2 linked regions of the Rattus norvegicus genome follow. The protein of the gene in region 1 binds, or shares a complex with, the protein of each later gene. Links are inferred from orthologs where the notes say so. Each region holds a gene or a part of one and is shown on either strand. Other genes may lie near its edges.

Region 1 (4,162 bases):
CATCCATTCAGTTAGTCAGTCATTCTTTGTCTTTCATTCCACAGACACTGGTGGCATCAACAATGTGATGGCCTAGGAGCTCCTGTTCTAGGAGGAATGCACTCAAACTGTAAAGACAAGTTTTAGAGTGTGGCCACGTGCATGTGGTGGGTGCGCTGAAGAGAGAGAATGACAATCCTGGGGGCACAACCAGCAAAATATCAAAGGGAGAAAAACAGCATCTCACGACTTCAAAAACAGGTCTCCAAAAGGATAGTGGGAAAAGGGCCTTCAGGTCGAAAGCAAACAGCTCATTCCCATGACAGCCCTTCCTGAGACCCAGGGAGACATGAACACAGCCAGGTGCTGGAGGACAGAGACGGAAAGCTGCTCTTCTCAGCTGTGACAGATGTCAAGGCCAGGGCTCTCTCTGTGCCTCTCTGTCTCTCTGTGTCTCTGTCTCTTTCTCTGTCTCTCTGTCTCTCTCTGTCTGTGTCTTTCTGTTTCTGTCTCTGTCTCTCTCTGTCTCTTGTGTGTCTGTGTGTCTGTGTGGGAAGTATATTTGTGTGTTGAAGGTGGAGCACAGGGCTTCAATCATACTAGGCAGGTATTTGTCCTGGCTGGTTTTGTGTGTCAACCTCACACAAGCTGGAGTTATCACAGAGAAAGGAGCCTCAGTTGAGGAAACGCCTCCATGAGATCCAGCTGTAAGGCATTTTCTCAACTAGTGATCAAGAGGGGAGGGCCCAGCCCATTGTGGATGGTGTTGTCCCTGGGATAGTGGTCCTGGGTTCTATAAGAAAGCAACCCAATGGGGCTGGAGGGATGGCTCAGTGGTTAAGAGCGCTGACTGCTCTTCCAGAGATCCTGAGTTCAATTCCCAGCAACCACATGGTGGCTCACAACCATCTGTAATGGGATCTGATGCCCTCTCTCTTCTGGTGTGTCTGAAGACAGCTACAGTGTACTCATACATAATAAATAAATAAATCTTAAGAAAAAAAAGAAAGCCAGTAACTAATATCCCTCCATGGCCTCTGCATCAGCTCCTTCTTCCTGACCTACTTGAGTTCCTGTCCTGACTTCCTTTGGTGATGAACAGCAATGTGGAAGTGTAAGCTGAATAACCCTTTCCTCACCAACTTGCTTCTTGGTCATAATATTGGTGCAGGAATAGAAACCCTGATTAAGACAGAAGTCTAACACTAAACTTTACCCAAAAAAGAATTTCGTTTTGTTTTTAATTATTATGATCTATTAGAGACATAGGCCAAGATGTGTGTGGGTAACATGTCGTGGTGCCCGGCAGGAGTGCAGGGTGTGAGAGTTGCTCACAGTGAAGCAGGAAGTGTGTGGGGCCTGTTACTTCTTCTAGTGTCCTTTAGTAAAAGGCTATTGATGGAGGATAAGATGTATGGGATAGGGTAGGGGACAGTATAAAGTAGGAGGGTTAGGCATCAAAATGAATTTGCACACCAGGTCAGTGTCTGCATACCACAGCCTTGCCCACCCACTTGTGCATTTGACTTTGACTTCCAGTAAGAAAATGTGGAAGTTTCTGTGAGGCTGCATGGGGTTGTGGCTATGAGCTTTCGGGATTCCCTGTGTAGAGAGGGAATAGAGGAGGGCCAAGGACAAGAACAGCAAGTGGATGTGCAAGAAGGGTCAGAAAGGAGAGCCACTGGCCAGGGCCCCATGGGACGGACTAGAGGTAGGAAGAGTAAATCCGACTCTAACTGAGGTACAGTCAACCGTGCCAACAGTGTTCCTTGGATGGGGTGACATCAGAAGTGGCTGGCAGGTGAAGGTGTCTCCCAGGTGAGGGGTGAGGGGCCTACTTAGGGTCTCAAGGTACTGACTTAATACTGGGCTCTACGTTAGCTGAGTTTGAGTCTGGAGCTCAGGGCAGAATCTAGGCTAAAAGAATCATGGAAGTGGCTAGGAGAGAGTTGATGTTCAGACTCCCTGGGGGTAAGGTCTTGGAGGAGTGGTCTTGGGGTACTCTGACAAAAGGCCCAGGTGGTCAGGTAATGGGGTTAACTTACCAAAGTATCTCCTCTCTTACACTCCAGGACTGCCTCCAGCAAAGAGTTTTCCTGAGGATAAAGCCAGGGGCCCTATGAGTCACTTGCCACATAGGGAACTATCCTCCTATAGGATAGGAGAGTACAGCTAGGAGAGCAGGGAGCGCTCCAGCGCCCCAGTCATCTGTGGGAAATCCTGGGTATAGGGGACATTTGGCAACTTTGTCCCCTTATGGCCCTACCCCTCAGTACCAACCAACCAACCAACCAACCATCTAACCAACCACTGGGCCTGAAAGGGCTCCTCACTGCCAGGAGCATATAGATCCCTTCAGTCCCTCTTTCCCTGAATCTTTCCCAGGTTAGGGGAGTGGATGCCCATTTGTGTCCCCATGAAGGCATATTCTATTCGGTCTACAGTCTGTACCTCATAATCTGGAGTCACGATGAGAAACAGCTTATTGCCCTCAACCTTAAAGGCATTAGGGGTGGACAACTGTCCCAAGGTCACATACTGGTCTTCTGGGACAAAAATGTCCGCCAGTGGCCCAGAAACAGTGGTGTTCTCGTTCATTGTAAACACGGTCTGGTTCGCAGAGCAGACTAGAAAGTTGCAAAGGAGAAGTTGGTTCCTCCCAGCCCAGCTCTGCCACCCACCCATCCTGCCCATGTTCAGTACCTACCCTGAGCCTGGGCCAAGGTCCCTGGAAGGTGGCCAAACAGCACCGTGAGCAATGGCAACAGCAGGGGAGGCCACAGGAGGGCCGGAGCCCCCATGGTGGCAGCTGTCACCTGGAAGAAGGGTCCGGCCGGCTTGGTTCCAGGGCTGGTACAATTCCTGCTCCAGGGCTGGTACAATTCCTGCCTTGGCGACCTTCGCCCCTGCCAGGCACCGCCTCATTTTATGATCCTTTACAGATGGCCTCTACCAAGGGGGATCCCGCTGGCCGGCCGGCACTAACAGGGGACATGAGGTCATATTGCAGCTTGGACTTCCAGGAAGTTAGCTGAGGACTCAACTTACAGGCACCACACATAAGGTGTAAAAAATCTTGAGAACCAGGAGTGGAGAATAGGCGTGGGAAGCCAGGGCAAGGCTCTGGAGCCATAGACCTAAGGAGGCTGAGTCAGGGTTGGGGGCTGAAGCAGGACTCGGGGATGGAGCCATAGGTCTGGGGAGCTGGGGCAGGGCTGGGGAACTGGGAGCAAGAACAGGGATGCGGGCTGAGCCATTGGTCTTGGGTCCACTGTGACCCTCATCTCCTCTCTTTCTCTTCAATGTTTATTTTAGAAAATCACTGGAGCTCTGTTATGTTACCTGCCTTCCCTCTTCCACTCCCAAAGGACAAGGCTGTGTCCCAGTCAGCTGCTCCTGCTGTCTGAGAAACACAGCAGTGCCCCCAGGGTAGGGCCTGGCAGAGCCTTGGTGGGTGGTAAGATGCAAATAGAACCTTTCAACCACTGGAGGAGCTGGGGTTTGGGGAGCCAGTATCTGATGGAAGACAAGAATCCCAGAGGACACAACCCAGCCCTCCATTAGACCTGCTTCCTCCTCTCTTGCTTCCTCTCCTCTGCCCTACAAGCTCTCAGAGATGAGAGGAAGCCCCTAAGTGGGGCCAGGAGAATGGTAGGGGGTGTTCTGTTGAAAGGGCCTACATAGCCCTCCCTCATTACTCTGGGTCTTTTGCTTTAGATGTCTGAAAACCTTCCCAAAGCTCCAGGCCTCTCTCTGTCAGAACTGGGCACTGTCTCACCACAGCCGCCCACTGAGAGATGACATCACCGGCCAGGCCTCATGGCTGGGCCATGACCACATAGGATGAACTCAGGTCCTCCCACTCCTGCCTGAGCCTCCTCCTCACCACTTCATTTACCCTGACCACATGGCTAGGCCAGGGTGGGGATCCTTGATCCCTGGAGATTTTGCTAAATGAACCACAGGGCAGGGTTGGACTCTAGGGAATTCAGCTAGGAAAAGAGGGGTTCAGCTGATGTCAGAGATAAAAAATGCCCTAGCTGGCTTTCCAGGTTCAAAGGGCAACAACTGGGTGTGGTCCTAGTCACTGAATGAGATGGATGGATCCGTCCAAGCCTGCCAGGTTCACGGAGCAGAGACTGCCTTGATTTTATCAGATATCACACACCATGAGCTAAAAGAC
Region 2 (4,152 bases), about 22 Mb from region 1:
GCAATTCCTTAAAGCTAAATAGAAATTACAACAAAACCCAGAAATTCCACACCTTGCTATATGCCCAAGAGATGTAAAAATATATGTTTACACAGGAACATCTATGTGACTGTTCTTAATAACATTTTTCATCATTAACTTAATGGACACAACCTAAACATCCAACCAGTATGAGAATTAAATGATAAAGGGTATTTGATATGCTAGTATAGAAGAATATTATTCAACAATTTAAAAAATCCTTCAAAACATATTCCTTTTAAATAAAGGCCACAAAACTATGTCACAGGATTCCAGTGACATAAAGTGCTCACAATTGCAGCTATATAGAGAGAAAATTGATTCATGGTTTCCTAGGGTTGGGAGTAGGAATTAGTTGCTAACAAACACAAAGGATATCTTTTAAAAGTTCTGTTGTTACATTTATTCATTTTTCTATGTGGTATGGGAGAGTCTGAGTTGGAGTGGGTTGAGGAATGGTTTTAGTGTGGAGAAAACATTGCAAAACTGAGTTTACAAGAGGGCAATTGGCATGTGTTTGAATTTACCAGTCTGACAAAACTAGAATTTAATAAACTCATTGACAAAAAAAGACCACCTACATGAAATAGTGCTGTACATGAATGGGATCTGTTGAAGCTGTCCACAGCAATCTCCACCATGCAAATGAGGGTAGCCTTGATTGGCTGATATTTGATTTCCAGAGGATACTGGGTTCACATGGTATAGCCTGTGGTTATACTTGGTTTAGATTGGCCTTCCTTATTTATATCATTCTACACTGGAAAGTGGTGAAGCTTTCTAGACCAAACTTTTTTATTTTTTTATTTTTTTTTGTGGGAGTTCCTGGAGAACCACCTGTTTGTCTTCCAGCCTGCCATCAGCCTTCTGTCCTCCACTGTTATGGTAAAGATTTCACAGCTGTGAATTTACCCAGATCTTTGATTTTATATTTCAAATGGTTAAATTCAACTTGTACAGACTATACCTGTAAAAATCTACTAAAACACTCCTTCTCCCATACCAGTGAACTTAACCAGTTTTGAGTTTTTTGATTATTTCCCATATTCTGTACCTAGGTGGTCAGTATCACATCTGACACTTGTTAATGGGCACAGTAAAGATTAAATGTGCTTCATCACATGCATGAGAGACACCAGAGGCCTCAATGTTCATTGTTATGGTTGGTCTTAAAAGTAAAGGTCCAAGTCCAGGACTGTAGGCCTTCTGGATGCCTTCCAAGAAGCGAGGGTGAAGTGAGCTTTGGCCTGGAGTAATACTCCCTGTCACTGATTAACCAGCCCCGTTGGAAGACTTGTGTGACCAGCACTGCCTAGACAAAGACACCTGGACAAGCTCTGGTGGGCAGAAAAATGTCTACCCGCTATCACCAAGCAGCAAGTGACAGCTACCTGGAACTTCTGAAGGAGGCCACTAAGCGTGATCTAAATCTCTCAGATGAGGATGGCATGACACCCACTCTCCTGGCAGCCTACCACGGCAACCTTGAGGCCCTAGAAATAATCTGCAGTAGAGGGTGAGTGATCCCTGTTAGGGCATCCTGGGTGGGGAATGCCACTCTGGCAGTGAGAGACAGAGATGTCCACATAGACATTTTGCTTCTTTGTAGGTCCTCTAAGTAGTTGGCTTTTAGAGAAAGAAAGACTAAGCTAGGTATGGTTTCTTTCCCTGTGAAACAGCCATTTAGAAGTCACTCAGGCAGAGGTGGGTAGGGTGTGGATTGTAACTATATGCCCTGAAAATCACCTCCATTGAATTTAAATGGTTAACTCTTTAAAAGGAGGTCACCATGCTTATTGGTTCAGTGATCTTCCTTGGTTAGGACATGGCTTTATTTTACTTTTCCAATCTTGTCACTAAAATCTATCTTTACAAGTACTCAGCCTTGATGTAAACTCCTGGTTCTTCTGGCTTTGCCATCTATAACATGAGTCTTCAGTCCATCTTTACACACACACACACACACACACACACACACACACACACACCCCATCCCTTAGCTTTAGATTCCAGTCTTTGCTAACTCTTTTATTCTGCTCACCCTGCTCATTGCCAGAGAGCTAGTCAGGGTAGGCAGTTACACTTAGATGGAGAGAAATGGAGCAAAAGAGGAGTTTGGGTGAGTGAGAAGAGTGGGGGGAAGAGGGAGAGGTAAAGAGTAAGGGAGTCAAATGACTCCAGTACAGTGCATATTTAGCATCTGGTAGGTGACAGTCCACCTCTCCCCCTTCTCTCCCCTTCTTCTGCTTTCTCTTTCTTCCACTCCCTCCTCTTCTGATTTTTCTTCTCATATATTTTTGGTGCTGTCCAGATGGTCCCTATCAACAAAACATCCTGGTGCTCTTGTGGCACTCAGATCTGAGAGGGGAAGCCAAGCAAGCAGCTTATGGTAGATGTGACAAAGTCTGTTCCAGGGAAGGGAAATTAAGCTAGTAGAGAAAGACGGGGAGCTGATCAAGGCTGAGGGAAGTGCTTTCCCCCTAAGGCAGAGAGCACTGTGCATTCCAAGGGTAGAAGACGTTGAGTTTGGCTGGACATGACTTGCACAGGAACAGACCTAAGCCATAAGACTGGACTATCAGGGGCCTTGAGACTTCTGTTCAGGACTTGAATCTCCTCCTGAGAGCCTAGAAACCACACCCTCTATTTACAGAGGAAGCAGTCACATAGATTTATGCTTATGAATATCGTTCTGGCGATTGTACATTAGTCACAGAGAATGTCTAGGGACGTTCAAGGTAAAAGTGAACTAACATGGTATCACTGGGTGTGAGTAGACACGGAGCTTTGAGTGACAGTTTGGATGTCAGATAGTGATTGGATGTGGCAAGTAAAGGAGGAGGAGGGTCAACATCTGTTTGGATTAAACAGATTGTAGATATGGACACCTCATTGAGTTGGGGAACATGTCAGAAAGAGCACGCCTACTCTCTATACCAAATCTTCTGAAACTTTATTCAAGATAGGTCTTTCTTCTTTTGAGTTAATGTCTCAATTTTGTTATAGCAATTAAATACATAACACACTTAATTTAATTTATAAGGATACCTTAATATTATAATCAGCAAATTTATTTCTTAGTTTATCCCCCTGTTTGATACATAATTCTTTTTTTCTAGTTTGCAGTGTTGTGGTGATTATTCCTCCACATAAGTCCTTGTCCATATTTTTTTCCCCGAGTGTAAATTCTCAGAACTGAAGTTTTTGGGTCAGTTGCCTGCACTTGTGCTATGATCACAAAATGCCTCGGGCAAAGTAATTTACAGAGGATAAAACTTATTCTATAGTTTTAAGAGCAGCCAGGAAGTCTAAGATCAAGTTGGCAAGAAGTTCAGTGCAGGGAGAGATCTTTCCATGCTGGCTCCTTATTGCTGCCACATCTGGGGTGAGGGGGACAGGGACGGAGCCCTCACATAGTAGGAGAGAGAAGATGCACGCGAACAAAATTCTGGAAAAGCAAGTTCCTTTCTTTGACAAGGAACCCCTTTACATGGTGAAGGCGGGGTTCCTGGTGAGGATGAAAACGCCAATGCTGAGCTGCCATGCACTTTCGTCTTTGTGAGCTGCGTGTCTGTAACATTGCCCCACTTTTATATGTCTATATAAAAGTGTGTGTGTCTGTGTCTATGTGTGTGTGTATGTGTCTGTGTGTGTCTGTGTGTGTGTGTAAGTATGTCTATGTGTGTATATATGTGTATGTGTGTATGTGTAAGTATGTCTATGTGTGTGTAAGTATGCCTATGTGTGTGTGTGTGTATGTGTGTATGTATGTGTCTGTGTGTGTATGTGTGTGTGTGTAAGTATGTCTATGTGTGTGTAAGTATGCCTATGTGTGTGTGTGTGTATGTGTGTATGTGTAAGTATGTCTATGTGTGTGTGTAAGTATGTCAATGTGTGTGTGTATGTCTATGTCTGTGTGTGTGTGTCTGTGTGTGTGTGTGTGTGTATGTATGTGTCTGTGTGTGTATGTGTGTATGTGTGTGTGTCTGTGTGTGTATGTGTCTGTGTGTGTATGTGTGTGTGTGTAAGTATGTCTATGTGTGTGTAAGTATGCCTATGTGTGTGTATGTCTATGTCTATGTGTGTATATATGTGTCTGTGTGTGTATGTGTGTGTGTAAGTATGTCTATG

The links. Proteins that work in one complex are often made in the same cells at the same time.
Region 2: Cdhr5 (region 1) and Anks4b share a complex: the UniProt entries of both Homo sapiens proteins name them as parts of the IMAC/intermicrovillar adhesion complex. The link is inferred for Rattus norvegicus from reciprocal best matches to the Homo sapiens genes CDHR5 and ANKS4B.

The regions. Positions count from the first base shown.
Region 1 is NC_086019.1:205,808,274-205,812,435, forward strand, and holds the start of Cdhr5 (cadherin-related family member 5 precursor), read right to left. Parts: upstream 2,820-4,162; 5' UTR 2,781-2,819; coding exon 2,687-2,780; intron 2,607-2,686; coding exon 2,431-2,606; intron 2,076-2,430; coding exon 2,025-2,075; intron 1-2,024. UniProt on the Homo sapiens protein: Intermicrovillar adhesion molecule that forms, via its extracellular domain, calcium-dependent heterophilic complexes with CDHR2 on adjacent microvilli. Thereby, controls the packing of microvilli at the apical membrane of epithelial cells.
Region 2 is NC_086019.1:183,977,450-183,981,601, forward strand, and holds the start of Anks4b (ankyrin repeat and SAM domain-containing protein 4B), read left to right. Parts: upstream 1-1,352; 5' UTR 1,353-1,373; coding exon 1,374-1,537; intron 1,538-4,152. UniProt on the Homo sapiens protein: As part of the intermicrovillar adhesion complex/IMAC plays a role in epithelial brush border differentiation, controlling microvilli organization and length. Plays a role in assembly of the complex.